Oryzias latipes: one gene and its partner. The main gene of each other region encodes a partner of the protein of the gene in region 2 in a complex. Links are inferred from orthologs where the notes say so. Each region holds a gene or a part of one and is shown on either strand. Other genes may lie near its edges.

The links.
Region 1: the proteins of adat3 (region 2) and adat2 are in contact, whole or in part, in a crystal structure (PDB 9HMM), measured with the Mus musculus proteins. The link is inferred for Oryzias latipes from reciprocal best matches to the Homo sapiens genes ADAT3 and ADAT2. Residues at the interface, in NP_001094076.1 of Mus musculus: Val217, Ala218, Pro220, Leu221, His223, Ile229, Asp230, Ala233, Gln236, Gly237, Glu270, Ser272, Pro274, Val276, Val290, Met291, Met294, Ala295, His298, Ala299, Pro311, Asp312, Leu318, Phe319, Val321, Arg324, Asp326, Leu327, Asn328, Pro349; in NP_080024.3 of Mus musculus: Val62, Asn63, Lys66, Asn67, Ala68, Thr69, His71, Met74, Ile77, Leu81, His85, Pro91, Cys107, Ile108, Met109, Ala112, Ala113, Leu116, Met117, Arg130, Phe131, Val137, Leu138, Ile140, Asp144, Leu145, Pro146, Asn147, Thr148.

What each region holds. Positions count from the first base shown.
Region 1 is NC_019882.2:23,450,078-23,465,835, reverse strand, and holds adat2 (tRNA-specific adenosine deaminase 2), read right to left. Parts: upstream 7,922-15,758; 5' UTR 7,830-7,921; coding exon 7,713-7,829; intron 7,399-7,712; coding exon 7,294-7,398; intron 7,195-7,293; coding exon 7,044-7,194; intron 6,909-7,043; coding exon 6,802-6,908; intron 6,301-6,801; coding exon 6,228-6,300; intron 4,661-6,227; coding exon 4,617-4,660; 3' UTR 4,528-4,616; downstream 1-4,527. UniProt on the Homo sapiens protein: Probably participates in deamination of adenosine-34 to inosine in many tRNAs.
Region 2 is NC_019879.2:16,548,714-16,564,621, forward strand, and holds adat3 (probable inactive tRNA-specific adenosine deaminase-like protein 3), read right to left. Parts: upstream 5,212-15,908; 5' UTR 5,113-5,211; coding exon 5,101-5,112; intron 2,889-5,100; coding exon 1,806-2,888; 3' UTR 1,732-1,805; downstream 1-1,731. Other genes in the region: ormdl1 (ORM1-like protein 1), read left to right, coding at 337-488, 640-775; osgepl1 (probable tRNA N6-adenosine threonylcarbamoyltransferase, mitochondrial), read left to right, coding at 5,607-5,812, 5,881-6,268, 6,351-6,555, 6,643-6,791, 7,586-7,716, 7,822-7,893, 7,977-8,061; peptidyl-prolyl cis-trans isomerase FKBP7, read right to left, coding at 15,237-15,398.

The DNA of each region.
Region 1 (15,758 bases), on a different chromosome or scaffold from region 2:
TCTGTATGTTAAGACCAGGATTTTAAAATGCACTCTGTAGTGAATGGGGAGCCAGTGCAGCTGCATTAACAACGGGGTGATGTGTGAGAACTTGGATGACTTGGTTAAAAGCCTAGCAGCAGCGTTCTGGACAACCTGGAGCCGTTCTAGAGATTTTTTACTTAAACATGTGAAGATGGAGTTGCAATAATCAAGACGGGAGGATATAAAACTGTGAATGAGCATCTCCATCTCAGAACGCGACACAATTGGACTCAGTTTTGCAATGTTTTTAAGATGATAAAAGCAAGAGCGAACAAGTGACCCGACATGAGAGTTCAGGGATAAAACCGGGTCTAAAGTTACACCTAGGTTCCTGACAGAGGACTTGATAAAAGAAGCAAGTGGACCGAGCTCATGGATTATCTGGGGGAGACAACTGTCAGGAGCACAAACTAGGACCTCAGTTTTGGGTTCATTGAGTTGGAGAAAGTATTTATTCATCCAGCTCTTAACTGAATCCAGACACTTTTGTAAACTCTGTATTTTAAAAACATCCTGGGGTTTAAAAGACACATAAAGCTGAATATCGTCAGCATAAAAGTGATAAGACATGTCGTTAAAAGAACTTAAAATATGCTGTAAAGGCAGCAGATATAAAATAAACAATAAAGGTCCCAAAACTGAGCCTTGGGGCACACCAGAAGTGAGCGGAACAGAGGAGGACTTAAACTTGGAGAAAACAACAGAGAAAGATCTGCCAGTCAAATATGAGGAGAGCCAGTTTAAGGCTGATCCGGAGACCCCAACCCAGTTTTTCAGCCTGTCCAAAAGGATGTAATGGTCCACAGTGTCAAAGGCTGCGGTCAGGTCCAACAACAGTAACACAGAGCATTTTCCTGCATCACTCTGCATCAGGATGTCATTAGTGACTCTGAGAAGGGCTGTTTCAGTGGAGTGAGCTCTGCGAAAACCTGACTGAAATTGATCGAATATCCCATGACTGTCGAGAGCAGCTGTAAGTTGTTTGGCAACAACCTTTTCTAAAATTTTAGACATGAAAGGAAGGTTAGAAATAGGTCTAAAACTGCTCAAGAGGGAGGGGTCAAGCCCAGGTTTTTTAAGGAGAGGAAGAACAACAGCTTCCTTAAAGTGCTCAGGGACTTGACCAGACAGCAGAGACGAGTTCATTATTGACACGACACAGGGACCAATGGACTGGAAGACATCTTTGAGCAGAGAAGTTGGCAACGTGTCGAGGGAGCAAGAGGATGACTTCATTGTCCCAACTAATCTGACTAGCTCAGGGAGGGAAACAGGTGAGAATGTGTCTAAAATCACAGGACGAGGCGGACTAGGAATAGAGCCAGAGCCAGGACCAGCTGTGTGACACAGAGAGCTTCTCACAGATCTGACCTTTTCAATAAAAAATGATAAAAACTTTTCACAATCATCATTTGAATGGATGGGAACAGCAGGTGAACTGGGCATAACAATATCACTCATAGTGTTGAACAGCACTTTAGGATTACCTCTGCTTTTGGAAATGAGATTAGTGAAATATGCAGCCCTCGCATCTCTAACAGCATTGTTAAAAGAGACTAAAAGATCCTTAAGATGAAGGAGATGAACATCTAGGTGAGTTTTTTTCCATAAACGTTCAACTTTTCTACATTATTGTTTCAGACGGCGAATACTGTTGTTAATCCAAGGGGAAACCTTAGTGACAGGAGCCAGTCTAGTTTTAACAGGACAGACTTCATCCAAGATGGAAAGACAATAACGGTTAAAGTTACATAATAAAGTATTAACATCGGTACACGGAGAAAGAACCAGGTTAAAAGCATTAGAAAAGACCTCAGCTGTGGAGGAGTTAAGGATGCGAGAGCTGACTTCTCTGCGTACAGGCAAGAGCGACACAGAAAAAGATAAATAAAAAAAAAATGCAATGATGGTCAGAAATAAAAATGTCCTCAGAAAAGATAAAATCAACATGCACACCCAAGGTAAAAACAAGATCGAGTGTACCACCTTAAACATGTGTGGATCCAGACACATGCTGAATAAAGTTAAAAGAGTCCATTAGGCTAATAAAACCTCTGGCAAATAGGTCAGAGTCATCATTAATGTGCATGTTAAAATCACCAACTATCAGGTTAGACAGCTTCATAGTGGAAGAAAGAAAGTCTCTGAACTCCTGTAAAAACACACCATTTGATCCAGGTGGACGGTAGACAACGGCACAGAAAAGAGGGTACTTATTCCTGACTTTGAAAATGCAAAAGTGCATCATACAGACAAACATGCAGCAGGCGTACAGCAAACTTTCAAAAGTCGTATGAGGGGTTTTTCCAGGCTCATCCTTCAGTGTAGGTTCTGCAGGGCTTCAGGTCATCTCTCTCTCTCTCTCACTCTCTCCGCCCCCCTGCAAACCTACAGAGCTTCATCCTTCCGTCTCTGTAGCTGCAGTCGGTGTTTCTGCTGGGCTGTGTGTAAACCCAGAACAAGAGTGGAGTGAGTTTTTCAGGCTTTATCCCATGTTAGGAAACGTGGAGATTTCAGCATCTTCATGTTTGAACTTTGAAACAGTCCAGCAGCTCTCCTTCAATCCATATGATTAGTTCTCAGTGATCTACTGGAGCAAATTCCTTCAGATGACCCACTCCCCTCATGACCGCAACAGTGAGAAGACAGACCACAGAGAATAGACATGTATTTGAAACAAATGTCTTTGAAACAGATTCAAAATACCCAAAGGTAGTATAGAAAACATTAAGTTCAAAATAGTATCAGTCAATAATGAGCTGAAAGTTGTGCCTTGAGCCTGTTTATAAACTCTGCAGCATCAGGCTCACTCACTGACCCAAGGCATTACAGTGGAGGAAGAGGCTTCATGATGGGTTTGAATTAGACTCTGGGAGCAGCTAGAAGGCTGGAGATCCTGAGGGTCAATATGGGACAGCTCCTGAATGAATGGACTTCTGGCAAATTCAGTTCAGGAAAGTCCACTGGTCCCCTTCATTGAGGGATGGGCTTCTTCAGTGGCTGCCCATCACACATCGGATTACGTACAAAATACTTCCCCTGAATTTGAAATCTATCCACAACCTTGACCCTCCATACCCGTCAAACCTTTTTCATGTTGCAATACCCAGCCGTGACCCCCACCCCCAAAACACTCTTCCTTTTTCAACTTCCACCACTTGATCCTCTGCTCTGGCCTTGTCCTCTTCATCATCCTCACCACAGTCATCCTCACACCATCTGCTGTCTGGCTATACTCTCCCAAGACATCACTTTCCAATCACTGATCTGTTTTAGAATCCGTCTGCTCAAGATGTAATCAGGTGTGTGCTGAGGAAAAACTTTAGAACAGTCAGTCAAAAGTAATTTCCAGGTTTTTAAGCTCATTTAACGATTAAAGACCAACTCCAAAAAAATTGTGTTTTTAAGATGTTTATGTAGCATTTTCCTGTGATAGAGGACATATTTAAGATTGAAACTGCGTTTCTGAGTATTTCTTTATTCAAAGTGTGAAGAATCAGGAGGAGTTAACAACCCGTGGTTTGAAAAAGCTCAGCTTTGTGACGCAGCAGCTGCCATGGGAGGTTTAAAGTCTCCCTGCTCCGCTCCAATTCTGAATCCTCCACTTAAAAACAATCACAGTAGATCCATTAAAGTCTTCCTATTTGTCTTCTGAACTGCCCTCTGGCTCAAAACTCCAAAATTGCTCGCATTTTTTATTTTTGCTACACTAATATTAGCTTGGGGTTGTGAGAGGCTGTAAGCTAGCAGGCGAGATCGTGAACAAAGGAATGCTGGGATATCACTGTAGGGTTACTTCCAAACCTACAGTCCCGCCCACAACCCAGAGGCGAATTTCTAATGAGCTCCTGCTGCGCTTCAGAAAATATGTCTTGAAAAACAAATTAGGTTTTTTGATTTTTGCTAAAAACGGCATAATCCTAATTAAGAGCACTGGGAACACTTTTACAATGGATACTAATATAGTTGAATTGGAACGTTCTGCTGGTTTTTTGGTTTTGGCTTTAGGACTAATTTTTAAACTGCCAGGGTCTTTAACATTTATTAAAAGCTTTTAACCAGATACTTCCAATTACGTTTTACAAATGGGTGAAATGTGTCCCTGATTTATGAGGGAGAGAACTGTATTATCTGCAAAAAGAGGAGCACTCCTGTTGTGAGATGTCTACTTACAAAATGCACTCAACGTTTTAGTCAACATGCTCCACTTATAGACTTGAACTATTACAATTGAACAAGAGCTTCTGTCATTTTTGAAGTTGATTTAAAACTTAACTGCAGCCAGATAAGTTCAACAGGTAACTTCTGGAGGGCTGTAAGTACGTCTTCATTTCCCCTCAGTGTAAATCGAACCCTGGAACAGGATAACATCCAGTACAAGTCAGTCTTTGTGATTCATCTTTTACTTTGTCTTTGAGACCAGATGTACTGCTCCTGCATGACATCAAAGAAACTCGGAGAGCTCACGTGGTTGTATTTAAAACAAATCTTCACAACTGATAGAAAGCTTCCAAACATCACAAATGTATTTTTATTTAACAAAACATTTATTTATTTTTGTATTTTTAATATAAACAACTAATCCAGCTGCATCACACCTGTAGAGCTGCATCTGTCCTTGTTTTGGGTTTGGGAGCTGAAAGACAGAAAGAAGATGAGCAACATACTGTCCATTCCTGTGCAGCATCAAAACCATCTCCTGTACACTGTATTACCAAAAGTATTCTCTCCCCCATCCAAATGATCAGAATCAGGTATCCTGATCACCTGGCCACAGGTGTATCAAATCAGCACTCAGTCATGCTCTGTTTTTACAAAGATTAGTAAAGAATGAGGCGCTCTCAGCAGCTCAGTGAATTCCAGCGTGGAATAGGGCTGGGCGATAAAACGATAAATAATTGTAACACAAAAGAACTTTACACTAAACTTATTTTGAAAGGTCAGAAATGAACACTCGTCTGTTGCGAGCATTTTCTCCTCTTTGGGCAGAAAAAGTTAGGTTAGTCACCACAAGGCGAGTAAACGTTTGTGTAAACTCAGTCATATTCATTTACTCTCCTTCAGGGGGGTATTCCAGAAAACAGGTAATGCTAGGATGATTAGACCACATATGGATGTTGGAAAGATGAACTTTTTTACTTTGATCTAACTTAATTATTTGCTTCAGTTGAGATAAATCAATTATTTTTAATTAAGCCAGTTTAAAAATAACATGTAGTTATCAGACAGTTATTATACTTTTATTCAAATTAATTCAATTAAGTAGGTGTAACTTTGGTGCTGCTGTTAGATCGGCAACGCAAAGGATTGTGGGATACCATTCCCTTTGCCTGTCTGGACGGATTTGGGTTTAAGTGTGGGTTTTTGACCAAATGTGTTTAGTTGCTTAGCTGTTTTACTGTGTATTGTCTAGTTATTTGTCCTGTTATGTTTAATTCTTTCTGCACCATGAGTGAGAGGGAGGAAGAGGATGATGAGTTTATTTAGCAGCTCTACTGGTTATTGGAGTAATGACAAATTCAGAGAAATGGTATTGTTACAAATTGGAAAGCTGTCTAGTTTCATTTATTTTATAGTGATAAAAATGAAAATATCTGCAGGCTCAAATTTAGACATGAGTTCAAGAATTACAATAAATTAAGATGAAAAACTTTAATAGAATTGGACTAAAATTACATTTATTTAGATAAATATGTAAATTTGAGTTGAAAAAAAATATTTTATATATTTGGTGTTGCCCATGTTGGTAGATAGCCTTCTGACTGATTGTGGGGGGGCACAGGTGCCTTTATGCAAGCTAACCACCTCAAACAGGTGCCACTCATTTAGAATCATGAGCAGAGTGGAGTTGGACTATTTCAAAGCAGAACAGCAGGTCTTTGCTGGTCAGAAATCTATCTGATAATCAAGTGATCAAATACTTTTTGACCTCACTGTGAGGTCAAAAAGTATTTGATCACCCTGTGATTTAGAAAGTTCTCCCACTTAGAAAACATGGAGGGGTCTAAAATTTCCATCATAGGTGCATTTCCACAGAGAGAGACAGAATCTGAAGAAACATTCAGAAAACATGTTGTATGCTTTTTTTTAAACAATTTATTTGTACCCAAGTGATCAAATACTTATTTGTCACAGTAATATACAAATAAATTGTTTAAAAGGCTTGAAAAACAGACTGAACAATTTTGAAAATTATATCCCACCGTTTGGGTTCTGCTGTTTGTAGAAAGTTTTCAGAATCTCCACAGCTTCATCTGCTCTGTGGCCTGAAATACACTAAACACAAAAACACAAGCTGACACAAAAACATCTCCACATCAGGGCTGCACGACATGAGGAAAACTCAAGATATGCCATATTAGTCATCAATATTGCGATGACGATATAACTTGCGGTATATGAACAAGTAGCAAAACAACCAAAAACCTAATTTCCATTTCACTGAAACAGTATACGGTAGTTTAAATAAGAGTTAACCCTAGTCTACATAGGAGGCCAACATCTAACAAAAGAGCTCCATCCGATTGGTCTATAATATGAAGGCGTGCATCTGGTTGGTCAAATGCATAAATGGATTTATTTGATTTGTTAAATACTTCCAACTACCATAAGATTTTTAGTGATCTTATGGCAGCTTGCAGGTAACAATTTATTGCAATTTTTGGCATCTTTTGCGATATGCGTATTGCACAGCGTGATATTGCGATAACGATAAATTTGGGATGTATTGTGCAGGCCTACTCCACATAAACACATTCATCAGGAGTGAATGCTGACCTTAAATGTGGTCCCAGTCTGCAGCAGGTCGGCAGAGGAAATGTCCAGAACAGAGCCACAGCCTCCAAACCGCTCATTCCAGCAGCCATACACGACCAAAGCCATGTCTGACAATCGGCTCAGAAATGACACTTCAAACTGAGGTTACATCCACGTCAGACAAGAATGCTCCTTAGGAGAAATGCATGTCCCCTAAGGACCACAAGGCCGAGAGGAGAGCCACACAGGAGCAGACAGGATACTGAGCAGGCGCAGGGCTGCAGCACACATGATGCATGGTTCCACCGTGACGTACAGGACTGTGTGCTCACACACGCTTCTCAAATCCAGGTTGCTATTGCGACACCAGTCCAGAAGCTCATCCAGAGCGACCAACTCAGCGTGACGAGTGGCCTGAAAAACCAGAGAACCGTGAGAAGCTGCTCATACTAATGCCGCATCAGAACAAAACCTCGAGTTAAAATCCTGTTTACACTTTAGAATTATTCCTACATTCTTAGTCTTGTTAACTTCATTCCTTCCTTTCCCAATTGCTTGATCTTTGTAGACCATCAGACATCCGACAGCCACTTCTCCATTCTGCAGAGCTTCTCTGGCCTGCAGAAACCTCAGTGACTTACTCAGGCGTGTGTGCACATCTGGGGTAGAAGGACTGACATTTTCAGACAGCATGTTGTCCTCAAATAAATACATCTACTTTCATATAACTTGACTCAAGAAAAAAAGTGTTTCATAAAGAAATGCACCAATGAGAGTTAAAAGTAACGTCTTTAAATGTCGTTTTTTTACCTATGCACTTATTAGCGCAATAATGGTAAAGCACTGTTGGGTCTTTCGCCTACAGAAAAGCTGGTCATTACGTTCTAAGGAATAAATTAACACACAAACCCGCTGTAACGTGGACCACTCACCATTTCAAACGCGCGAGACATCCATCTCTCGATCTCCTGATCGTTCGGACCGAACTTCTCCATCGAGCCGAACTTCTCCATCGAGCCGAACTTCTCCATCGAGCCGAACTTCTCCATCGAGCCGTGCTGTTTCGGGTTGTTTTCCACTTTTTTGTCACACTATGGACACCATCACACCGGAAACGAACAGGGGAAGAAAATATTGAACGGACCGACCCTCCGTGTTTCCGATTACGTGTTTTCATTGTTTGTGTGTGTGTGCGCGCGCGCGTGTGTGTTTTTTAAAATTGAAATATAATCATTACAAACTATCGCAGACAAAACCACACAATGATGCAAGACACAGCTCTCAAATAAAAAAGTAACAAACAAACACGTATAAATAAAATATAGAAATCTTTCAGCATAAATTAAATTTCAAGGCAATCATAACCTGGAGCATAGATCAGTAATGATCCTGTAGAAGTGTTACAAATGTCATCAATAAAAGGATTTAAGCTCTGAATGTGTGAAGGAATTTGTTTTATTATTATCATTGTTTAAATGTATTTCTTTAAATGTTAACTCAGATTGACCTTTTTACCTCTTCTAAAAACAGTTCTGTGTGTTTGGTCATCTGCTTCTCATGCCCAGCCAGGAACAGGGGGGTTTTACGACACACTGTCCTCAGCTGATAAGTGATACTGTTTAAACTTAGAATCCAACCAAAGGGGTCATTGTACGACACCCCCTAATGAACTTTTTGTCTTTGTCTTGAATTGTTACCTCCCACTTGTGTTCTTAATAAAAGCAGCACAGGGAGGGGCAGACCTTTGAGAAGAGAAACGTGGTGGACCTTTTCCAACACATTTGCTCCTCTCCCTCGTGCATGAGAAACTTGATTCTTGTTGTGGTTTGTTGTTTATAATTGTGTTTTTCTTTAATGTCTAGATGCATTTATCTGACATTCTTTGGTCCATTCGAGCCGGATGACAACATATCTGCGTCCTTGGGGGAGGACCATGCCGATTGAAGTCTGTGCACAGCCCGTGAGACTAGGTCTCCGGAGGAAAGTCCGTCGTAGTGAATTCTACGCCGGCCAATCGACTGGTCTGATCCCTGGGTCCGGATTGACGTTATTCGTTAACCAGTCAGACCACAACGACAAGGCAAGTACAGCGCTTTTTCAGGGGTTCGAGTCCCCGAAGTGGCCCAGAATTCTGAGGGACAGGTTCAAGTCCTGTTGCCTAAAACACGTGTGGGTTTGGAGTCCCGGAAAAGTCCAGAATTCTAAATAAAGGTGTAGGTTCGAGTCCTGCAGCCTAAAACGCGTAAGAGGGTTCAAGTCCCTAAAAGGCCTAGAATAACAACAAAAATAAAATAAAAAAAGTTTTTTTTTGGTGTGAATGTATGTGCATGTGTGAAAGGAGTGAACTTGTTCGAAGCAGTGAGCAGCTGGAAACCTTGCGGTGTTAACACAAGGCTGCTTGTTGGGGTAGAACAAGATTTCATCTCATAAGGCTTTAGGTGAAAAGAACCCAGAGTCTAAAACGGGTTTTGCTCCTGGGAGGACCCTAAACGTGTGACCGGATCAGACAATAGGTCTGACCTAGAAGCTTGTTGCACGGGGAGTGAAATTCGGTCCTGAGAGAAATTCTCTGTTGGTTCTGATCACACTCTGTGACTAACGTAAATAAAAAAAAAATTGGAAAAATTAAAAAATGGGGGAATTCAAATAAAAAAGTTGAATTGACATGAGATTAAAAATATATGGAAAGAGGTTCATCCAGGTTCAACTACAATTTTAAGGGGAATGTACTGAATTAGTTCAAAGGTTACAAATTAAAAACAGAATTAAAAACTAAAAAAGAAACAAAAAAATGGTGAAGAATTAATTTGTGCAAAACTGTGCTTAAATGAAGCAACGAAAAATAAAGAATGGCATTCAGAAAAGTAAAACTAGAGAAGCATGTCTGATTCCTAAAAAAGAAGAGGATAAATCAGTTGTGAGACTCAGACCCCTGCAACAGCAGGCTGCAGCAGGCTGCAGACCGAGCAGGAGCAGGATGAAAGGGGGGGAGAGCAGAAACCAGCTGATTTCTCACCTCCTCCCTACCAGGGGACAAATGCTCCTCTGTTGACGGGTTTTTACCCACCAGTGACTGATTTAAATAAACCAGAAAAAGGAAAAATAATGTTAGGAGGAAAAGGGAAAAAAAACTTGAATGGAGTAAAACTATGGGGGTTGGTTTGGAAGAAGCTGGAGAGTCATCTGAACCCAATGATTGAAGTGTCCAATCCTAGAGCTGGAGAAGATGGCCAGAGGCCTACACTTCTTTTGCTTAGCACCTGGACATTAGAGGATGTACGGAAGGCAGTGAGGGGAGTTATCTCTCACGGGCAAATGATGGAAGTTCAGAGAGCTTACCATCTGAATGGCATTGAATGTCAGCAAGCATGTATGACTGCTATGAAAGCAGACTGGGCAAAAGTAAAGGAATCCTATGAATGATGACAATCCACCCAGACCTCTTCCGCATAACAGTCTAAGAGTTAATTCAAAGTCTTACACTTTTAGGACAAAGAATTAGAGAAGCCTTTCCAATGAGACCTGATTATGGAAAGATTGGTCAAACTAAACAAAAAGATGGAGAGTTAGTGTCTGATTTTAGAGTCAGATTTGAAGAAGTTTTAAAGCTAATTGTGGACTCAGAGATAATGATGATGGTCCCTATAGACAGCAGCTGAAACAAGTTTTACTGCAAGCTATGAGACCAGAGATTGCAGACTAGATAAGGACACTTTACATAGATCTACCAACAGGAGCACTACAACAGTTTGTGAATTTTGCTGTTCATGCAGAAAAAATTGATGGTGAATAGAAAGAAATTTAGGAATCAAAGTGTAGATACATTTTGGCAGGAAGAAAGTAGTGATGTGTTTTTTGGAAGGAATGTGAACAGAGGGAGAAATTGTGGTCGTGGAAAAGGAAATTTTAAAGAAAATTTTAGAAGAAGGTCTAGAGGAAGTAGCAACAGAGGGTCAGAGCAGGTTGATGATGGATGTTGGATTTGTGGACAGAGAGATCATTGGGAGAGAGATTGTCCTGAAAGGAAGAAATCAGATTGACTAGATGGTAGAAGTAATGTCAAGATTAACAATGAATCTGAACCAGAAATTCAACGAATTTGTGATGAATTTTTAGATCTCACTGAAGTTTGTCTTATGGAAAAGCCAGAAATAACTCTTTATGTTCAGGGACAATCGTTTGTTTTTCTTTGTGATTCAGGGGCTTGTAGAACTGTGATAAGAAGTTATTACAATGATTTTCCTAAGTCAAATAAAACAATACAAATGAGATCTGCAGATGGTCAAATTGAAACTAAACATTAGAGTAAACCAGTTTGTTTTGAAAATCCTGACACTAATGAAACAACAAGCATTCCTGTGGTTTTAGCACCAAACTGTCCTTTTAATCTTTTAGGGAGAGATGTCATGATAAGATTAAAGTTAGGAATTTACCCCACCAGAGAAGGGGGGATGCAAGCACGACGTTGCCCCGATACAGACATCTGTGTGCTAGAAGGCAGAGGTGAACCACACTATTATTGGATTTTAGATCTACCTAAAACTGATCTTGGACAGACTGCAAAAAACTTAATGGAGAAAGCAAAAGCCAGAGTGTCACCCCATGCAGATTTTATGTCTTCAGACATTCTGTATGTCATGTTAAGATGCAAAAAGTCTCCTGGTCCTGACAGGAGATATGACGAAGCAGTGAGTAAACTAGGATTTCAAAAATGTACAATAAATGATTTTTATTGGAAAGATGAAACTAGTTTCTGTACTGTGACAGTTACACCAGAAGCAAAAAACTTAATGTGTACAGAAAGAGTGACAAGTTGGAAACAAATGGCAGATGCAGTTCCATTTATTTCTTGTTCTAAAGGTTCACGAGAAAAATGGGAAGAAATGAAAGAACATGTGCAGGAAGTGACCTATACTTTGGACTGGCAGACTGATCCGGAAACTGGAATTTCTACCAATCCTGAAACTTAGTTTAAAAGGATTGCATTAAACTGGGTAGTGATTACACAGGCTAATGTGCATCTGACTGACAGAAGTAGCTGAGTGAAAATTATGTTGACAGAGGAAGAGGAAGATTCTCTTAAAGACCTTCCACAGTCACTTTGGACTAAAGAGCCAGCAGATGTAGGGTTAATTACAGGATGCCCACCAGTGGTCATTAGATGGAAGAACAGAGGGTTTAAAACATCAACAGGAAAACCAGTAACACATGTAGACTTACTGAAAGAATTATTAACTGCTGTAATGTTACCATCTAAAGTGGCAATATGTAAATGTGAGGGACACACACAAAAAAAAACAGATCATATTTCTAAAGGAAATGCCTTTGCAGATGCAACAGCAAAGCAAGCTGCAACAAAAGATGTAGAAATATGCACAAATGAGGATGTGACTGCAGATGCAACCACTGATGTTTTAAAGGAAATGCAACACAGTGCACCGAAACAAGAAAAAGATTTATGGTTGAAAAAGGAGCAAAGTTGAACAAGGTCTTTATGTCAGCACAGAAGGGAAACCTATTTTACCAAAATCCATGTACAAATGGGCAGCAATTTTGAGTCATGGGCTTTGCCATGTCTCAACAGGGGGGAGGATGAACTTATTAGAGAAATATTAAACAACTTGTGGATTTATGCTCTATAAACTCTATAAAAAAATTTTTTTGTAAACAATGTGTTACATGTATGCATCATAATCCCCAAGGCAATGTTAGACCTAAGAGAGGAAAATTTCCTGAACCACCTTTTCCTTTCCATACAATCCATATGGATTTTATTGAATTGAATAAAAGTAAAGGATTGAAATATTGTTTAGTGATTATTGATGCATTTTCCAAATGGGTTGAAATTTTTCCATGTGCAACACAAGATGCTATTACAGTAGCTAAAGCTATTTGTAAAAGAATAATCCCAACTTTTGGCATACCACAAGTGATAAGAAGTGATAATGGTACAGATTTTGTAAATCAAGTGATAGACAAAATGGCTCAACATCTTTGTATTGATTTAAAGAGACATTGTAGTTATCACCCACAGAGTGCAGGATTAGTTAAGAGAACTAATGGCACTATCAAATCAAAGTTAAAGAAATGCATGGAAGAGACAAACAGACAGTGGCCTGACTGCATAGACTTAGTTCAGCTAAGCATGCGTATCACACGCACAGCAGGTCAACCTTTAACGCCTTTTGAAATGTTGTATGGACGTTCTTATAGGTTACCAGACATTGATCCTACACAGCAACATTCTCCAGATGATGATGCAAATTTAGTGGATTATTTGAGAAAAATGTTTACCACTAAAGATGTACAAAGGACAAATCAAGTGCCAGATTCCTTCTTATCTCCACAGGACACTTCACCAGTGCAGGTTGGTGACTGGGTGTTTGTGGAGGCCATAAAAAGGAAGTGTTGGTCCAGCCCACGGGGGGAAGGGCCATTCCAAGTCCTGCTGACTACACCAACAGCTGTAAAGATTGCTGAAAGGACGTCTTGGATCCACCTGTCACACTGCAAGAAAAAGCATCTGGGTGAGGCTAATTCCAACTGCTAGGTGGGGAAGTCTGACTACAAAGGGAGGCAGCTGTATAGAAGCTGCTTGTCTCAACGTCAGCGAAGCCGAGACATCCACCTAGTCTTAGGGAAGAAAGCACACCAGAACTCTTTTGCACTACACGGATCCTACACTGTTAGAGGACTTGAGGAGGTGATGTGCTAGTAACCTCTCCCTCCCGAAGATAGGTACATATCCACCATGGCGTGTCCAACTGGGCTAAGAGACAGTTTATTTTGTTTACTGTTCCTGCTATTCCTGACAGGAGCCACCACATGGATTTGGTTCTTTTGGAATCATTATCCACCCGCAAGAAGAACCACCAGTGAGGAAAGAAACATTTCTCGACGATGGCTGAGTATTGATGAACATGATGTTTTGAATAGTCCAAAAATGAACATAACTCACCTGTATATGACAAATTCTTGGTATAGGTATGTTATGTTACTGACTGACTAAAGAATAGATCGGATTGCTATGTTTGTTCTGTAATTGAAGCTTCATCCCTACATCCTAATTTGCAGGCAAAGCAATTTTCTGAGTGGAAAAGCGACTGTGTTATTGAATATAGTACCAGAGGGTATATTAGTACTGGAGCCGTCACCACTTCAAATGGAACTCTTGTAAGACCGAGTTGTAAGAGTTTGTATCAGTTTAAAAAACTGAAATTGACAAAATCATTAGCTCCATATGCTAGTGTGGAACCAGGAACTGTGTTTCCACATTGCGTAACTAACAATGGCACAGAGTTTTTAGGAACTTTGCCGACGAAGATGTGTCATGAACTTCTTGTTCCCTTCACAGTCCAGATAATCAATGACAGAGTTTCCCATGGTTATGCAGTTCCCTGCCCCAGAGGACGTTGTGTTGGATCTAATCCAGATTTAATTCCAGGTAACAATGGTACTTATGTGGTTGATCAAATGTTTTGGTTATGTGGGCAGGCCCTCTACCTCAGTCTGCCTAGAGACTGGAGTGGGATTTGTGCTCCCGTAAAGGTCACAGATCACACTTTCATAGTTTCTGCAGTCCATGAGCCTCACCTGCGCCACAGACGTAACCTTATTGATGTCAAGCCACATGATTCCATTTGGGGATCAGATGTACCTGGAGACCATAAACTCTGGAATACGGGGCAAAAGGTAACTATGGCATTGTTTCCCTGAGTGGGAAATGCTAAAAACGCTCTCAGAATTGAGACCATTGATTATTGATTAGGTTTATTTTTGAACGCTGAATTAAAGCATTTAAAGTCTATAATGAAGAAATGTCAAGCATGAGACTTAAGGTTCTACAGAACAGATTGGTTTTGGACTTATTGGTTGCTCAGGAGGGATGTGTTTGTAAAATATTAAATGATACCTGTTGTACATTTATTCCTGACAACACAGATGAAGGTCACAGCATCACTGAAGCATTACATCAACTTGAATAGGTTCAACAGGCAATGCAGGATGACAGGAAACCCCAATCTTGGGATTTCTTCTCCTGGTTTGCTTTTGGTTCCTGGTAGCAACTTTGTTAAAAATAGTGACACCTATTCTTATGGTACTGATCATATGTTGTGTGTTCACTATGTGCATTTTTCCTTGTATTCAATCTATGATTTCCAGAGCAGTGAATGGTGGAGTACAAAGTGTTCTTCTGAGTCAAGAATACAACTTGTTATTAAAGGGAGAACAAGATGACTGTAATGATTTTGAAATTGAAATGACTTGAAAAAAAAAAAAAAAAAAAAAAAAACGTCTCATCTGAGTGTAAATTGATAGTGTTATGAAAATGAAGATGTCACAGAAAACTGAAAAGGGATGTGATATTGGATGTGTGATTTTGACATTTATCAATGATAAATAGGAGGGAGTATGTGAAGGAATTTGTTTTATTATTATCATTGTTTAAATGTATTTCTTTAAATGTTAACTCAGATTGACCTTTTTACCTCTTCTAAAAACAGTTCTGTGTGTTTGGTCATCTGCTTCTCATGCCCAGCCAGGAACAGGGGGGTTTTACGACACACTGTCCTCAGCTGATAAGTGATACTGTTTAAACTTAGAATCCAACCAAAGGGGTCATTGTACGACACCCCCTAATGAACTTTTTGTCTTTGTCTTGAATTGTTACCTCCCACTTGTGTTCTTAATAAAAGCAGCACAGGGAGGGGCAGACCTTTGAGAAGAGAAACGTGGTGGACCTTTTCCAACACATTTGCTCCTCTCCCTCGTGCATGAGAAACTTGATTCTTGTTGTGGTTTGTTGTTTATAATTGTGTTTTTCTTTAATGTCTAGATGCATTTATCTGACAGAATGCATTTCAATGGGTATAAATACAGTCTGATTTCATTTTTAAAACAGAAATTTTTGCCGATCTTTTTACCATTTTTGTGTAATGAATATGATATTTTCCCCAAATCAGGAGAATGTTCACTAA
Region 2 (15,908 bases):
AATTTCAATCTGGTTTGAAATACATGAATTGCACTTGTTGTATTTTAACATGATTTCTCATATTTTGAGTTTGATAGTAAACCCTAGTTTATCTTTTTAGGTCTTGCATGTGTTATTAATTTAAGACTACACCAGGGTGGAACTGTTTCTGTGCAAAGAAACAAAAGCCGATGAAATGTATCATTCAAAATTCTCTTTGCATATAAGTGTCAAACTTCTGCTTTGTACTGTAAAAATGTGTTGTTAGAAAGCAGCAACATAAATAATAACCGACTCATTTAAGCAGTCTATGAATAATATTTACTCGTGTTTGTATTTCAACTGTTGTCTTTCCAGGGAATGTATGTCTTTATGCATGCTGTGAAAGGTACACCTTTTGAGACTCCTGACCAAGGGAAAGCCAGGCTTCTAACTCATTGGGAGCAGCTTGATTATGGTGTGCAGTTCACCTCATCTAGAAAGTTTTTCACCATTTCACCAATCATTCTGTGAGTATTGAGATCCCATCATGACTGTATGCAAGATTGGAAATGTTCTGGAGTCAATTTAAAACGATATTAGCATTTTTCTCACGACTGTTTTATATATTTAAGCAATTTGTTTTTCAACTGATCTGTCTTTTTTCTATTCCCTCCCTAGATACTTCCTTGCAAGTTTCTACACAAAGTACGACACAACGCACTTTGTAATCAACACTGCCTCACTTTTAAGTGTCTTGATCCCGAAGCTGCCACAGCTGCACGGAGTGAGAATTTTTGGCATCAATAAGTATTAACGTATTTTAAGTGCTGCGCCTCTCAGCAGTAGAAGCTCATTCCTGTCATCTGTACCGCTGATTACTCTGTAAGGACAGCCAGATACTTCAGGGTTAAAGAAAACACAGGAGTACTTTGTATTTGACAGAATGCCAGAAGCATTACTAACTTATGTGAATATTTAATGAAGTTTTTTTTTTTTTTGGCCTGCCTAGACCTGGGCTGGCCTAGGTCTTGGTGAGGACTTTAGTTTAATTTCTTTTCCTCTATCATTTGTTCACACAGTGACACAAAATTGTGAATTGTAGTCACTCGGATGTTCCAATGTATTTTTCAAAGATGTTTACTTTGTAACGGTATGAGCCTGTGGCTCATTAGGTAATGGGTGCCAAATGTTTAGCTCAGTCAGGAATATTATCATCCTCCTTATTGGCATGATTCTTTTGACAAGTGAAACATTTATTTGCAACTGTGTGGAAAGTTGTTTCGGTTTTTGTGGATTTATGTCTTGTGTGTAGAAGAAAACAGTGTGACGTTAATTGTTTACTTAGGGGTGGTCTGCAGTGTCTACATGTTAATCTTAGGCCTGTTGATGCCCTTGCTAGATTAAGACTTTTTGCTATAACCAAGGCAGCTAGCTCTGCTTTGAGTAGCCATTTAGGCCACAGTGGTATTTCTTGTTAATCTTATTAAAAATTGTGACCTCTGAGGTTCTGTTTCATTCCTGCTCATTTTATTCTTCATTTCTAAGTTATGAATGCAGAGTTTATATCAAAGGGGGAAAAAATGGAAATGTTTCAAATGTATTTAAATATTTTTAAAGAAAACAGCAGATAAGTTCTGATTACATTTCTAGTGTTTACAGATAGATGATTGAATGTGTGCTTTTAAAAATATGAAAATGGAAGGGTAATGTTTACCTTAATGCTCAAAAAACAGTTGGTATAAGAAATAACACTGCCATGACATTCACCCCTAACTTCACAAAAAAGGTTTTATTTAATTTGTTATCTAAAACAAGACTTTTTTAAGGCACATCGAACAAATCCTTTACTCTTTACATGTAACCTGTTTTTCCTTGAGATCTTCTATGTGATCATCTGAACTGATGAGTTCTCCGCATTGTTTACTCAAGATCCCCTTGTAGACTTCAAAGTGATGGTTCAAATCTCTCTGCGTGTGGATTTTAAATCGGGTCCCGAGTGCACCGTCAACTGAGGTGGTCCCGTAGAAAACTCGACCAATCCGCGAGTGGACCAGCGCCATGGCGCACATGACACAAGGTTCTCTGGTAACATAAAGGTCATACCCCGTACAGATGTAAGGTTCAGCTGCCCCTTCCGACTGATTTGACATTTCTTGATTTTTGGCAGCTTTTGGGAAACTGAACTGGCATGCAGTGTAACGGTCAAAGCAGTAGTTTCCGCCACCCTGACTCCTAGCCACGAGGTCAATGCAGACCATGACAGCGTGGTGTAAGGGGTGGTCCCGTCTGCAGTCATGGCCGACTGCTATGATGCGGTCTACTTCAGGGTCAACCACGACCGCCCCAACAGCCTCCATCCCCAACTCTTTAGCGGCTTGTGCAGCGGTTAGAGCAGATGTCATGTATGTGTGCATTTTGGCTTTTTCTTTGGTACTGAAGAGCTCACCTCTCAGAGCTACAGTTACATGTTTGTTTTCGTGAAACGCCGTGGACCAATGTTGGCTCGCCAGTTCAAACTGAGGTCGGGTCAACGGCGGACGAGCAGGAATTTTAACCACAAAAGGCTCGCCCAGGCCTTCCCATTTAGCTCCCCTTGAGGGTAGCAGAGAGTCTTTGCTGACTGCCTTTATATCTGGAGCTTCACTGACGAGACACAGAAGGACTTCCAGAGGGTTTTGGCTGCCCTTGTCTTTGCAAGCCCGTACCCTCTTGAGGTGCTGAAGGCCATTCAACGGGTAGAGGCTATTCAGCTCCGCGATGATTCGGGAGGTCTCTTTCTTGTTGGTGATGGGTGCAGCGAAAGCTTCTATCAGCTCGATGTCTTGCGACTGCAAGTCGGACAGTACAGGAAGAGCATCCCAGGAGTCAGTGTCCCTCCCTGACCCTTTCCAGCGCTTCGTCTGTGGCTCCATTATTTGGGTGTCCTCCTGTCAGTACATTTGCAGGACAGAGCATATGGTCAGAAACACTTTTAGTTGTTGGAAAGACATAAACCATTTTTATTCAAGAAAAAAAAAAAACTTTTTAATCACACCTATGAGTTTTTTTTTTCCTTTTTCAAGTTTGAAACAAAGTCAGTTACGACTCATAAAAATAAATCACTTCAGGAAATTGAATCTCCTCTGTACGAACTGTCAAACAGAGAATACAGTTTTTATTTGTTTAAAATGAAAATGCAATTGCAAAGTAAAAATAAAAGTTCATGTTTTCCCTGCAAAATGAACCACTCCTGTTACAATATAGATATTTATTTTAAAAAAAGGACAAAAACTGGTCACATTTGCCATGTTTGGACGTTTCATTTTATTCATTTATGTTGTCAGGTTTTATTAAACAATAATCTCTAAAACAACAGAATAAAAGTACAAGTTTACAAAGTCAATTTTTAAGATAACATTGTTGCGACATAGCAGGTAACCAAACATTCAAATACTGACTGCTGTTACACATTAATGATCCAAACATGTCAACACTGCCAATAGATTCTATGGAAAGATCTAAAGTTCTTTTAGTAGATTTGCCGTCTTTCATAAAAGTAAGCATTTTGTACCAAAAAATTTAATGTTTATATTTTGCTAATTATATTACTATTACAATATTTTGATTTATAACAAATATTTTCTATGACTATTAAATAGCCCTGATATAAAAAAATTAAAAAGAAAATAGATTTCTATGTTTTCACTCCGAGAACTTCCTATTGGCGATTATTCAACCTCTGAAAAATGTGAAATCACTTTCATAATTTACATTGTTAAGCATGTTGAATTTTGGAATGAGCTGATTTCAACCCTTAAGACATATCTCAATGAAACACTGTAAAAAAATCTACTTAACAACAATTTATTTTAGTTTAAAACACACATTAAGTGTAGATTAAACAGCTATAAACACTTCAAGCTACATCCACCATCAGAGCATTCCCAATTCAAAATGAAAATTCAGTTGGAAATAAAGTAGTAAACTGTTTGATGTGGTTTTGTTTATTTTCTTCCCAGCATGAGCTTCATTTTCATGACTTTGGGGACGTGTCTTATAGTGAGGGACACTCTGGTGCCTCGAGTTAATGTCTCCCCAGGCAGGGCGCCGGTAAAAGACAGGTTCACCACCTGCTCTGTCAGCAAGTCATGAGTCTGTCCTTGAATGCCGTGAAGAAGGTGCTGGTACATTTCATCTTGTAGGATTAGGAGGCTACGCGGCATCACCAGCAGAGAAAGCAGGTAGCGGTTGTCTTCGGTCTGTGGAGCTTCTCCCTCCATGCAGCTGACAGGTTTGTAGAAGTCCAGGAGAGTGTGGGAGCCCAGGCTGATGGTTGTGACAGTGGGGTGGTACAGGGGGCCGTCTTCGTGTGGCATAATGCCTTCCCCTTGTTTGTACTCATTGACCAGCACATGATTTGCCGTTTTCCCACCAAATGCGTCTAATGAAGATATTTTTTCACAAAAAGCCTGGAGCCAGTCAGGGATCTTCTCTGGGACCATGCCTCTGGGATGAGGTAACCCTCCCCAGTTCTGGAGCCTTCTACCAGAAAGTTGGGTCCACTTTGTTTTTGGAGCTTTGTAGACCTGTTGTAGAAGATAGGACTCCTCGTCTTCTGATATGAAATCTGGGATGTAATAGACGGTTTGAGGTGCATCCTTTACAACAAAACGCTTTAACTCCTCCAAATTACAAGTAGAAGATTCCATGCCTCCTTCAGGGAAATTCAAATAAAACCCTGATTAAAATTCAAATAACTACTTTTCTAAAATAATAATAATAATAATAACACAGGGAAAGAGGCTAATTTGGGGGAGCAAAATGAAAGTTAATGGAATAACATGTCATACACTGTATGTTCTTAGGTTTAATCAAAGCGGTTCAATACCAAACAGGAAAATCGTCCAAATGACTGTTATATCAATTAGAAAAATCAACAAACACGAAAATTGAAACTTTTTTTAGAGTTACTAACAAATTGTAAAGTACAAGTACAGGACGTTGGAATATACGACATTTCCGCTGATCGTGAAGACAACACAGCTTTTCACACAGAAAATCCTCATAAACTTCCGTTGATGAGGATTCTAGCACTAATTATAAACACAATTTGATTGTTTAGTTATTGTCTATGAGCAGGAATAACAGTATTAAGCCTACCTCTGTATGCATGAATTTGTTCGATAAAAAGAAAACCCGCCTGGTGGTCAAACAACCTGGCAAATGCACTCCATGGGCAAAAAACTATGCGCTACTGTTAAAAGTGTCCGTGCGGGAACGTGTTTACATTTTTTTAAGCACATTCAATTTTTTAAGCCACTTTCCGAATATGTATAGCTTAACAATATGATTAAAATATTTGTTCTTTCCTTCTTAAAATTATTAATTATATCATTCCATTTGATTAAAGTCGCTGTCTACTCGCCGTGATGTGTCGATTCACTGACATAGCCGGACATAAATACATGTAACACAGCAAATGAGTTGAGCTCGTGTTCGCTCCTTTAAAAACAATTATGCTCAAATGTCTTTTACAAATGGAAGTGATTTTAATCTTTCTCTCATTTTTTACGTTATTATTTTTATCTCATGATGATTGAATTCCTCTAGCGCTTGCATCTGATGCCTTCAATATTTGACGTGGAATCTTTGAATTAAAAGTAATAATGTTGCCTGCTAAAGTGAAAAACCTGTGGAGGCTGCTTCATTGTAGACGCGTAATGGACTTCACGTCTCTGACTAGAAAGGCATACCACTCCAGACTTGTTTTAGGCATTGAGACGAGCTGTGATGATACTGGGGCTGCTGTACTGGACGAAACTGGTACAATCCTGGGAGAGTCTCTTTACTCACAAAATGAGGTTCATCTGAGGTGAGGAACATGAAAAGAACTTAAAAAACAAATATTTTTATTTTGACAAATATATTCCCCTTTTGCAGGACTGGTGGTATTATTCCCACTGTTGCACAGCAACTCCACAGAGAGAGCATAGAGGTTGTGGTCCATGAAGCCCTGGAGAGGAGTGGAGTGACCCCAAGCCAACTGTCAGCTGTGGCCACAACAGTAAAGCCAGGCTTGGCCCTGAGCTTGGGCATTGGTCTTGCGTTCAGTCAGAAGTTTGTAAGGAAGCACAACATACTGTTCATTCCCATTCACCACATGGAGGCCCATGCCCTGACTATCAGAATGCTCCAGCCCGTGCCCTTTCCTTTCCTGGTTCTGCTTGTTTCTGGTGGTCACTCGCTTCTTGCTGTTGCACGAGGAATTGACGACTTCCTGCTGTTGGGTTACATGTTGGATGAAGCTCCAGGGGACACACTGGATAAAGTAGATTCATTGCTTTTGACACATTTTTATAGTATTGTAAATATAAGTCAAGCACTTCAAAATCTGTCTTGCAAATTCACAGGTGGCAAGACGCCTCTCCCTCACAAAACATCCAGATTGCTCCACGTTAAGTGGAGGACAAGCGATTGAGCTTTTAGCAAGAAGTGGTGACAGGAGGAAATTCCCTTTCAGGACACCGATGGGGCGGATTTATGACTGCTGCTTTTCTTTTGCTGGACTACGAAGTCAAATCACAATGTCCATCATAAAAAAAGAGGCTGAAGAAGGTATTTGAGAAAAGTTGAACACAGTTTTACTGAATACTTATTATACTCAATTTACATGGGATGCTTACAGTCAATCTTTTATTGTAGGAATAGAACAAGGTACACTTTTGTCTTGCGTAAATGACATTGCAGCTGGCACACAACACACAGTTGCTGTTCATCTTGCAAAACGGACTCATCGTGCCATCTTGTTCTGTAAGGAAAATGGCCTTCTGCCATCTGATAATCCTATTTTGGTAAGTACAAATTACAACATTTTATGAAAATATAATTTACATGTAGTCATGTGTGTATAAGTCAACATGTACAATGTTACCCAGTAAAAGAGCTAAAATCCGATATCTTTAAGGTTCAAAAGATTGTTAGTCGATGTTGGCTGTATCAAAACAGTATTAATTTCTCTGTTGAAAGAATGTGCTAAGACTTGTTATATGGATATAACCCTTTTTAAAAGACAGATGTTTTTGTTTACTCCTTTGGTTATACAGTTTTTTTTGTGCACTGGGTGCATGCCCCTATTTGCTGTCAAATTTTAAATCACCATCTCTTCAAATCCCTGAAATAAATTCACTATAACATTGCCAAATCAAACTGGTTTGTTCCAGATGCGAAATAAAGAATTTGGACACCACAGTTTACCATGTTGGTTATTTTCAAAATGCAGAGCCTTAATTCACAAACAACTTTAGGTCCTTCTTGGGTTTTAGAGGAGGAAAATAACTAGGACTGGTAGTTTTCAGAAACTTTTTTTTAATGATGCCATTTATCTCCGTACAATGAATGGGCTTTGAGATATCACGATGTTTAAGACACAACAGGGGAGTGGATATCATTTTGTTTCCAAAGCATGACTTGGATTATCTTTCTTGTTTAATAGAAAAGTAACTGCAGTATACTTTTTTGATCAAAGTTCTGGGTCAATAGGTACCAGAATGTTTTCATTTTTTTGTGACTGATAAAAATGTTTTCTTATAGCAAAAAGTAAGCTCTTCCCTAGTGTGCACTTGTTTGAATAATTACTCTTTTCTAGGTGGTGTCTGGAGGAGTTGCAAGCAATCAGTACATCTGTAAGGCACTGACGGTTATCACTGAAAAGACAGGACTTCGTCTGCTCTGTCCTCCACCCAGATTCTGCACTGACAATGGCGTGATGATCGCGTGGTGTGTGCATATCAGCTTTGAAGAATCATCAAGTGTAATTAAATTGTAGGTGCTTAATTGAACTTGGGGTTTAAATGATAAAAAAAAAACTTTTGTCCCAATCAGGAATGGTATTGAGCGTCTAAAAGAGGGGAGAGGAATTCTGTCTCCAAGTGAGGATGTCTGTTATGAGCCAAAGTGAGTCAATTTAAAAGACAGTGGTTACGTTTTTGTTTTTTTCTATGAACTGATTAAAGTGTTCTCACAATGTTGTGTTTCAGAGCACCACTAGGTGTCGACATCTCAGCAAAAGTGAGAGCAGCAGGGATACGGTTACCACCAGTCAGGATGAAGATCCTTAGCTGACAGACACAACCCTATCATAACTAATTACCCCTGTGTTTATTTGTAATTTTAAAATTTCAACGTGAGTATTTTTGTCAAAGAAAATGAAGAAATAATTGAGTTATGCTTATTAAAGTTGCTAACAGAACAATAAATGATTCTTGTTTATATACAGAAGTAATTTGTCTTAATTTTATTTCTACTACAATTGTACATGAAACTCTTTTCATAGGAAGATGTCTTTTTCTCCCTGTTATTTGTTAGTATCAAAACTACATTATCAGTTTTCTGGTTGTGCACAGATACATCAAGAAGAAAATGTGGGAGTGAACTCTGTCCACTCTGCAGATTTAATGTATTCATGTTATTTTGCTCCTAGAAATTAGGTAAATACTTCCCTCTAACGGTAAGTTTGAGTAAGTGCATCAAAATAATTTAAAGCTGTTATGACCTTCCAGCTGAAAATGTTACCCCATGACCTTCAGATTACATGACTCAGAAGGTCAAATCCTTGAAGATGGTGTCCAGAAGGGCAGCTGTTGGTCCATAGGGAGAAAAAGCTTTTTTAAAGTTTTGGGGGATTCACCTTACATCAGCTTAATTAAACACATTGAAGATATCAAAAAGTGCATCAAAACCCAACAGCTTTGAAAAGTAGCTGGCAGCACAAAAAAAGGAAAAACACTTGAACAACCCAATTGTAGGATAGTTATTTGTCCTTTTAACAAAGGACCTTTTGGTAGTTTCACCAAAATCCTGTTTAACCTCTTGAGACCCAAGCTCTTGTTTGATATGCCTTTTATATTTTGTAGTCACCCCAGGGCCCAGGTAATCAGAGTTAACTACACTGGTAATAAAACCCACAATGTGATGTCCTCAGATCTGGACGGCAGGTCTCAAGAAGTCAAATAAAAAAAAAGACAATTTGAAATATTAAAGAATGTTTGGTTAACTTAGAACTTTGACAGGGTGGACACACTAGCAAAGGTCTTCTGTTGCTAAGAGACCGTGTCTGTTGTATGACTTACCAGTTCACCAGTTGACACACTACATCGGTTCAGCTTTACTGAAGGCTTTAGAGACTGATCCAAAGAGAGGAAAAACGGTGCAACAATGTCCATCAATCACAATGAGCCGACAGAGCAGACCTGCCCGGAAATCTCAGAGCAACAGGTGAGTTAACCTGAAAATGTCTATGGCTGCTTCCACATTAGCACATTGACAGGGAAAACTTTTAAGAGATTTGTTTTGTTCACTCAAATATTTACTAGACCGTTTTTAGATCTTAATGTAGATTATTAGTTCTGAGTAACTTATTTCTGGATAAAGTAAGCCAAGAGATAGCCATATGTTACCATGATTAGCATTTTCAATCTACTTATCCAAATAATTTGAAAATGTTTTGTTCAAACATTTAAAACCAGGTATACAGATACAATTTTATGTATAAAATCTAAATAACTTTTTGTTCCTTTTAAATCATCTTCTTCTTGTTAAAGACAGTAAATAAATAAGGTTTGGTCCTTCACAAACTGAGTTTTGTAAAATGTTCTGAGATGAGCTAAAAACCTGCCTGTTGGAGCAGAATTTTAATGAAACACTGGCACCTCTTGTTATTTACAGGTTAACACAGATCAGACTGAATTAAGATCCTGTGGAATAAACCATGTGGAGGGCGGATGGCCCAAAGAAATTGATCTTCAAAATTTGGAACACACCAGTCGTTTTAGAAAGAGGAAGGAAAGAGAAGACAGCTACATAAACAGTATCACTCAACTGGGCAGTGTAAGATTTTTGTATATACTCCTCATTTAATTGTGTTTCTTAAATCTGTCAATATATTAATGTCTTTCCAAATTTTTCTACAGTTTTGAAACCTGAACTAACATCACACACTTTATATTATGTTATTCAGATCACAGAGCACAGCTTTAGGCAGAATAATGCCGTAGAAATCTATGAGAAATACTTTGAGGATGAGGAAGATATGAATGAAAGTCATGAGCCACCTCTTACCAAAACCATGACTGTGTTCAGGTATGACTGACAGCAGATCATCAGCACACCGATTGCTTGTAATGACTAATCACAGTCTGCTCTTTTGGTTCCTGCAGTGATCCTACCCATTTGCAGCGTGCTGCGAGAGGTTTGTCTTGGAGTACTTCTGAACCTATGAAATTTGCTGCTGCTTTTGCTTCTAACAAGTTCCCACTGTTGTCCGAAATGTGCAAAGACTCCTATGTCTGGGACATTGGTGGGTCAAACCTCTGGCTTATTGAAACCAATTCACAATCCGTTTTGCTCAGTGGTGGATGCTTTATCTTTCAGAAAAATCCAGTTCACCACTGATGGTGCTAAAACCATCGTCCTCACTTCTCTGTCTGGAGTACAACCCAAATGACCCCGCCTGTCTTGTGGGAGGCTGCTACAATGGGAGAATTGGTGGGTTCAGGGATAGACTGATGAGGTTTGTAATGAAACCATTTCAGCTGCAAGTTTATTTGTTTTAGTTTACTGGGATACTCGGGAAAGCTGTTGGCCTGTGGGTTCTTCTCCTGAGGATCACAGTCACAAAGATCCAGTCAGCAAAGTGAGCTGGCTTCAACTCAAGGGCAAAAAAGAGGCAATCTCCACTTCCACTGATGGACAGGTCAATTCTTGACAAACCAATTTTGACTGACAACGTGTTATTCTGGAAAACTGTTGAAGGACTTTCTTACTAAAGCAATAAACCTCAACTCTTTCAGGTTTTGTGGTGGGACATCCGGAAGATGAGTGAGCCCACAGAGCGTTTGATTCTGGACCTGGGTGGGGAGAGGACCTGCCCCGTAGGAGCAATTTCTCTCGGGCTAAACCACATCATGGTGAGGGTGTGACCTTTACAGTGCAGACACTGGTAAAGTGTTGCTTTTCTGCTGCTATTTTTTTTTTTTTTTTGCTATATCTCCAGCCTGAACGCAGTTTTGTTCATTCTGTTTCCTAAGAACACAAAGATCATGTTGGGGACACAGCATGGCTTGGTCATCTCGTGTGACAAGAACGGAAAGACTCCAGCAGAAAAGATTGTTAGTATTTACAAAACCAACAAAGGACCTGTGTATGCTGTGCAGAAGAACCCCTTCTTTCCCGGGAACTTCCTGACTGCAGGGGACAAGCATGCTTGCCTCTGGTCTGACATCATTACCAGGTCCCCAATCATGGCATTCAGGTAGGATTCTGACCCACAGCTTTAGCTGAGGACAATAACCTTGAGTTTCAAATAAATCCGTGTAAATTGATAGCTATTGTTGAGATGAGTGTGATGGATGCCATTTGTGGAAAACTGAAAAAATTACCTGAAAAAGAGCGGCACACCAACAAAAGCAAAAGTCAAATATTTGTATCCACCAACACCATCATCTCCTCCACAGCATCTTATTCATTTGAAAATAAGATCCATCCTATTTTCTTGTCTAATTCACATGTAAATTGTCTTTTCTATTTCCCTTCTATCATCTGGTTATTTTTTGTTGACATCAGAGGCTAACGCTAATAGCTGTGTCTCTCCATCTTGCTTGCCATTACTTTTGTTTTGCGGTAAACAGAGCAGCAAGTAAAGAAGAACAGCCCAGAGCAAAAAGCTATGCTACACTTATTCAGATGTTTGCAAAAAAAGAAATAAATCAAGACAGAGACTTCTCTGTCCAATCACAGGACGTGTTCATATCACGCTTAATGTAAAGCATAGACATATGGATTAAAGCCTTCCTGCTAGCTCAAAGTCATCTAGATCTGATGAATTAATGCAAACGCTTGCCTTGCTGTTTTGTGAAATCAAAAGGCCATGTCATGGCCAGATTGCATAGAACCTAACATCACAAATAAGCTGGAATATGATTGGATAAAAACTATTATTATGTACAATACCTTCAGCTACTGAACCAACTGGATATCATATAGCACGAAGAATGCAGAAAAAGCAGAAAAAAATGTGTTTTAATGTAAATACTTTTTTGTTTAATGTTAAGTAACTGTAACTAATGTTAAGAAAAACAAAGGATGAAATGTGCTTTACTTCATTTGATGTTGGATTTCAGGAATGGAATGCAAAACTTAACCGGTGCTTGCTGGAGTCCATTCAGACCCTCCGTCTTTTTTACTCTAAATATGGATGGCGTGCTGGACATCTGGGACATCTTGTTCAAACAGACTAGCTCCGCACTGAGTGTCAAGGTCTGATCCCAGCTGCAAAGTCAAAAAAGTCTGATGGGTCCAATGACTTTGAATCCCTACTGATACGCTGGCATGAATATTCATTTTAATAGTGCTGTGTTGCTGTCCTCAGGTGTGTAACAGTGTTCTGTGCAGCATTTCTGTTCCTGATAAGGGGCCTCTGATGACTTGTGGCTCTACTAACGGGGAAGTGATGCTGTTGAAGGTTTGGCCTGGACTGTTGACCCCACGAAACAATGAGATCAGTTTAGTCACTGCTGTAAGAACACATTCTGACTCAAAATATATGCATGATGTGATAAAACTTAACTAAGATAAAAACAAAAACAAGTTTTATATTAGTTTTTTGAGCTAATATTTGACATAACCCTCTGCATACATAGTCAAAGGACCCCATTTAAGGAGAATTAAGTTCTGTGGTAATATAACCTGAAATGTGATGCCCATGCATGTGGACACCAGATCTTAAGAGGTTAAAATAAAACACGAACCTTTTTAATTTTTTTTAATTTTACAGTGCAGTTCATCCTTTACTTGTAATTTTAGAGGTAAATTAGGATGATGTGGAGTTTAGCCTACAAACTCTGTGCACTGATTTAGACAATGTTGTCTTTGTCTGCAGCTGATTGAAAACGGAGAAAAACAGCAAGGTCCTTTGAGTCAAATAGAAAAACCTTCTGAGGAAGAGGATGAAGAGGAGGATCCCAACGAGCTCATCGCTCAAGCTGAAAGAGATTTTTATTCAATGGCATAGATGGTGACGAAAGAAAAGGAAGGATCTGCTCCAGGTGAGATGGAAGGCTCTTATATCTTAGCAAACTGTTGTGACCTCTAAATAATGTGAGTTTATGATTTTGGCTTTTTTCCTCAGAAAAAAAATCAAAAATGGCAACAAAAATATAAGGAAATTACCAGATGCTAGCAACAACTGGAAAATGGACTTTGGCATGTTTGCAGGTTATTTATTTACATTGCTTGCACACTGTAGCTACATAAAAATAAATTAAACTAGTTTCTGTATTCTCTTCACTTCTGTCTGATACCTGTGTAGAAATTGGGGTTGGTGCTGTTGAGTTTTTTTGTTCAGACCTTGAGCCATCAACAAAGAGGTTTTTTAGTTTTAGGGCAAGTAAAGTAAGTAGAAAGAAAGAATTCTAAAAACTGCAGTGTAGTTATTTAAAAAAATATATTGTTTGTGAGAAAATCAGTCGCAGAAGATTTTATAGGCTTATTTAACCCTAGAGCACTATTGGCGGGTGATTTTTACCCGAGCAAAACTGTTTACATGAATTTTAATATGCCGCGTGTCAAGGAGTCTGTGCTTTCACCAGGGAAGTCTCACATGTCCCAGGAATGGGTGGACCAGAGACCAACTTTCTAGTATCATTTTATTATGTTTTAGGTTTTTTTTTGTTTTAAATTCCTAATTTTTCAGTAATTTTTTAGGGTGTTTATGGGAACTTCCTATGTTTTTCTTTTTCATTTTGTCACACATATAGTATCACAGTTGAAAATAAAAGAAAACCACTCTAATTGAAATTGAAAATATTTTATGGCAAGAACTTTTTGGTTTTTCTCAACATTAGTTACAGTTACTATATTGGGTAAAAATTATTCGGCAAAAGTGATGGTGTAACTTCTTTCAGCGACGTTTAAGAGCTAAATTAAAATAAAATGCTTTTAGACTCTAGCTTATTTTGAATGATTCAGAAATATAGCAAGAAGATGGTAATTTGAACTTAAAATTAAAGTATTAAATGCAGATAATCATATGTTTCTCCTTTAAAATGCATTTTATCTTTCTTTAACTTTTTATTTTAAATAATGTGATTTTACAGTAATAGAAGCAATTCCTTTGATCCCTTATTGAAACTATATCTTACATCATATTTGCATTTCAACATTTTAAAGTTTAATTTGTCGGTTACAGTAATCCCTTTTCAAAATCCAAAACACAGACTTTTCACTTGAAAGATCCTCATGAATCCTCCAAAAACCTAAAAATTAGTCTTAAAGAAAGAACTATATTTAGTTTTTCAGCAAATGTGAGAAAGATGGACCTGCCCTTTGTTTGTTCTGGCAAATTTATTTCTAGCACACAGTAGGGCTGCTTGATATTAGGAAACCTTGCGATTTGCGACATTAGTGATCAATATTGCTATGACGATATAACTTGTGATCCATGAACAAATAACAAAACACCTAAAAAAAATCATTTCCATTTTACTGAAACAGTTTAATTTAAATAAGACTCAACACAACTTACATTACACTCCAAATGACCCTAGTCTACATAGGAGGCGAGCATCTAACATAAAAGGGCTCCATCATGTCAACAACATGAAGGGGTCTATCTGATTGATGAACAATGTCAAGGGCAACATTCGATTAGTCAAATGCATGAGGGGAAAGGAAAGTTTATTTGATTCGTTAAATACTTTAAGCTGCCAACAGAGGTGATGAGGAGGTGATGGGCAGGTTTGGTGTGAAGGAAAGGAATCTGGAGGGACAGATGGTGGTGCCATAAGATTGTTTTTGCACATTTAAGGTTACCATTTATTGCAATTTTCGCAAACTTTTGCAATATGCATATTGGATCGCTTGATATCACGATAAAAATACATTTGCGGTTTATTGTGCAGGCCTAGCACACAGTCATGTTGGACTATCGCAACTCAGCACATCATTTTAATACTTCAAATAATTACACTAAATGGATGTCTATGAATAAAAATAGCCACAATAGACCATTTCTTACAGAAAAATGCACACTTTATTTTTAAATCTACTAAACCTTTTATTTATTTTTTTAATTACAGTTTTCCTCTTGTAGAGAGATTGTGGACTTCCACAGACTTTTATAGTAAAGGAGATGTTCAAACATTAGTTTGGAAAACACAGAAAACCAATTTTCCCTAAGTGATGACTGAGATAGACTCAAAGTGGTTTGTAAAAACACATGGAAGGAACTCTGTGAAATGACACTAAAGTTCATCATGTTCATATATATTATACTCCTTGGAGCTGATCAGCCCATCTCTGTCTCTGTCACTCTTGCGAAATATATCAGCAATGATCTTCTCATAGAAGGGGTCGTCCCGCGGCTTCCCACCTTTTTCATACTCCAGCTTCAAATATTCTTTGACCTGAAACCAAAACAAAAACCATACCATTATACTTAATGATTAAGGAAATACAGACAGTTACTTCATTCATGTTAAAACCCAAACAGAAAATATTTTAACTAATAAAGGACCAACATTATTTATGTTTTACTGTTCATATCAATCCCCATCATGCTGATCACAGACTTTTCTACTAATAGGCCTGCAAAATCTTGGTGTGACGGAGAGGCATGGAGACACCCTTTTAGGTTTACAGAGAGGAGATTTTTATCACAGCCTCCTTGTGCAAACAATGGATGCGTGTGCGTCTGGGATCATTGAATGTACTTTCAATATGAAGCAATCCTTATCTTTTTCATGAATCAACTGCAAAGATTTAACAAAGTCATGATTTTTGGATTTAAAAGAAATATATATTATTGTAGACACAGCCTGATAATTTTCAACGTAAAGTTGTAGAAGGGAAATCCCCTTGTCTTTTTGTCCTCACATTACCAGTTGTCACTAATGTAGCTGGAGCAGATTACACAG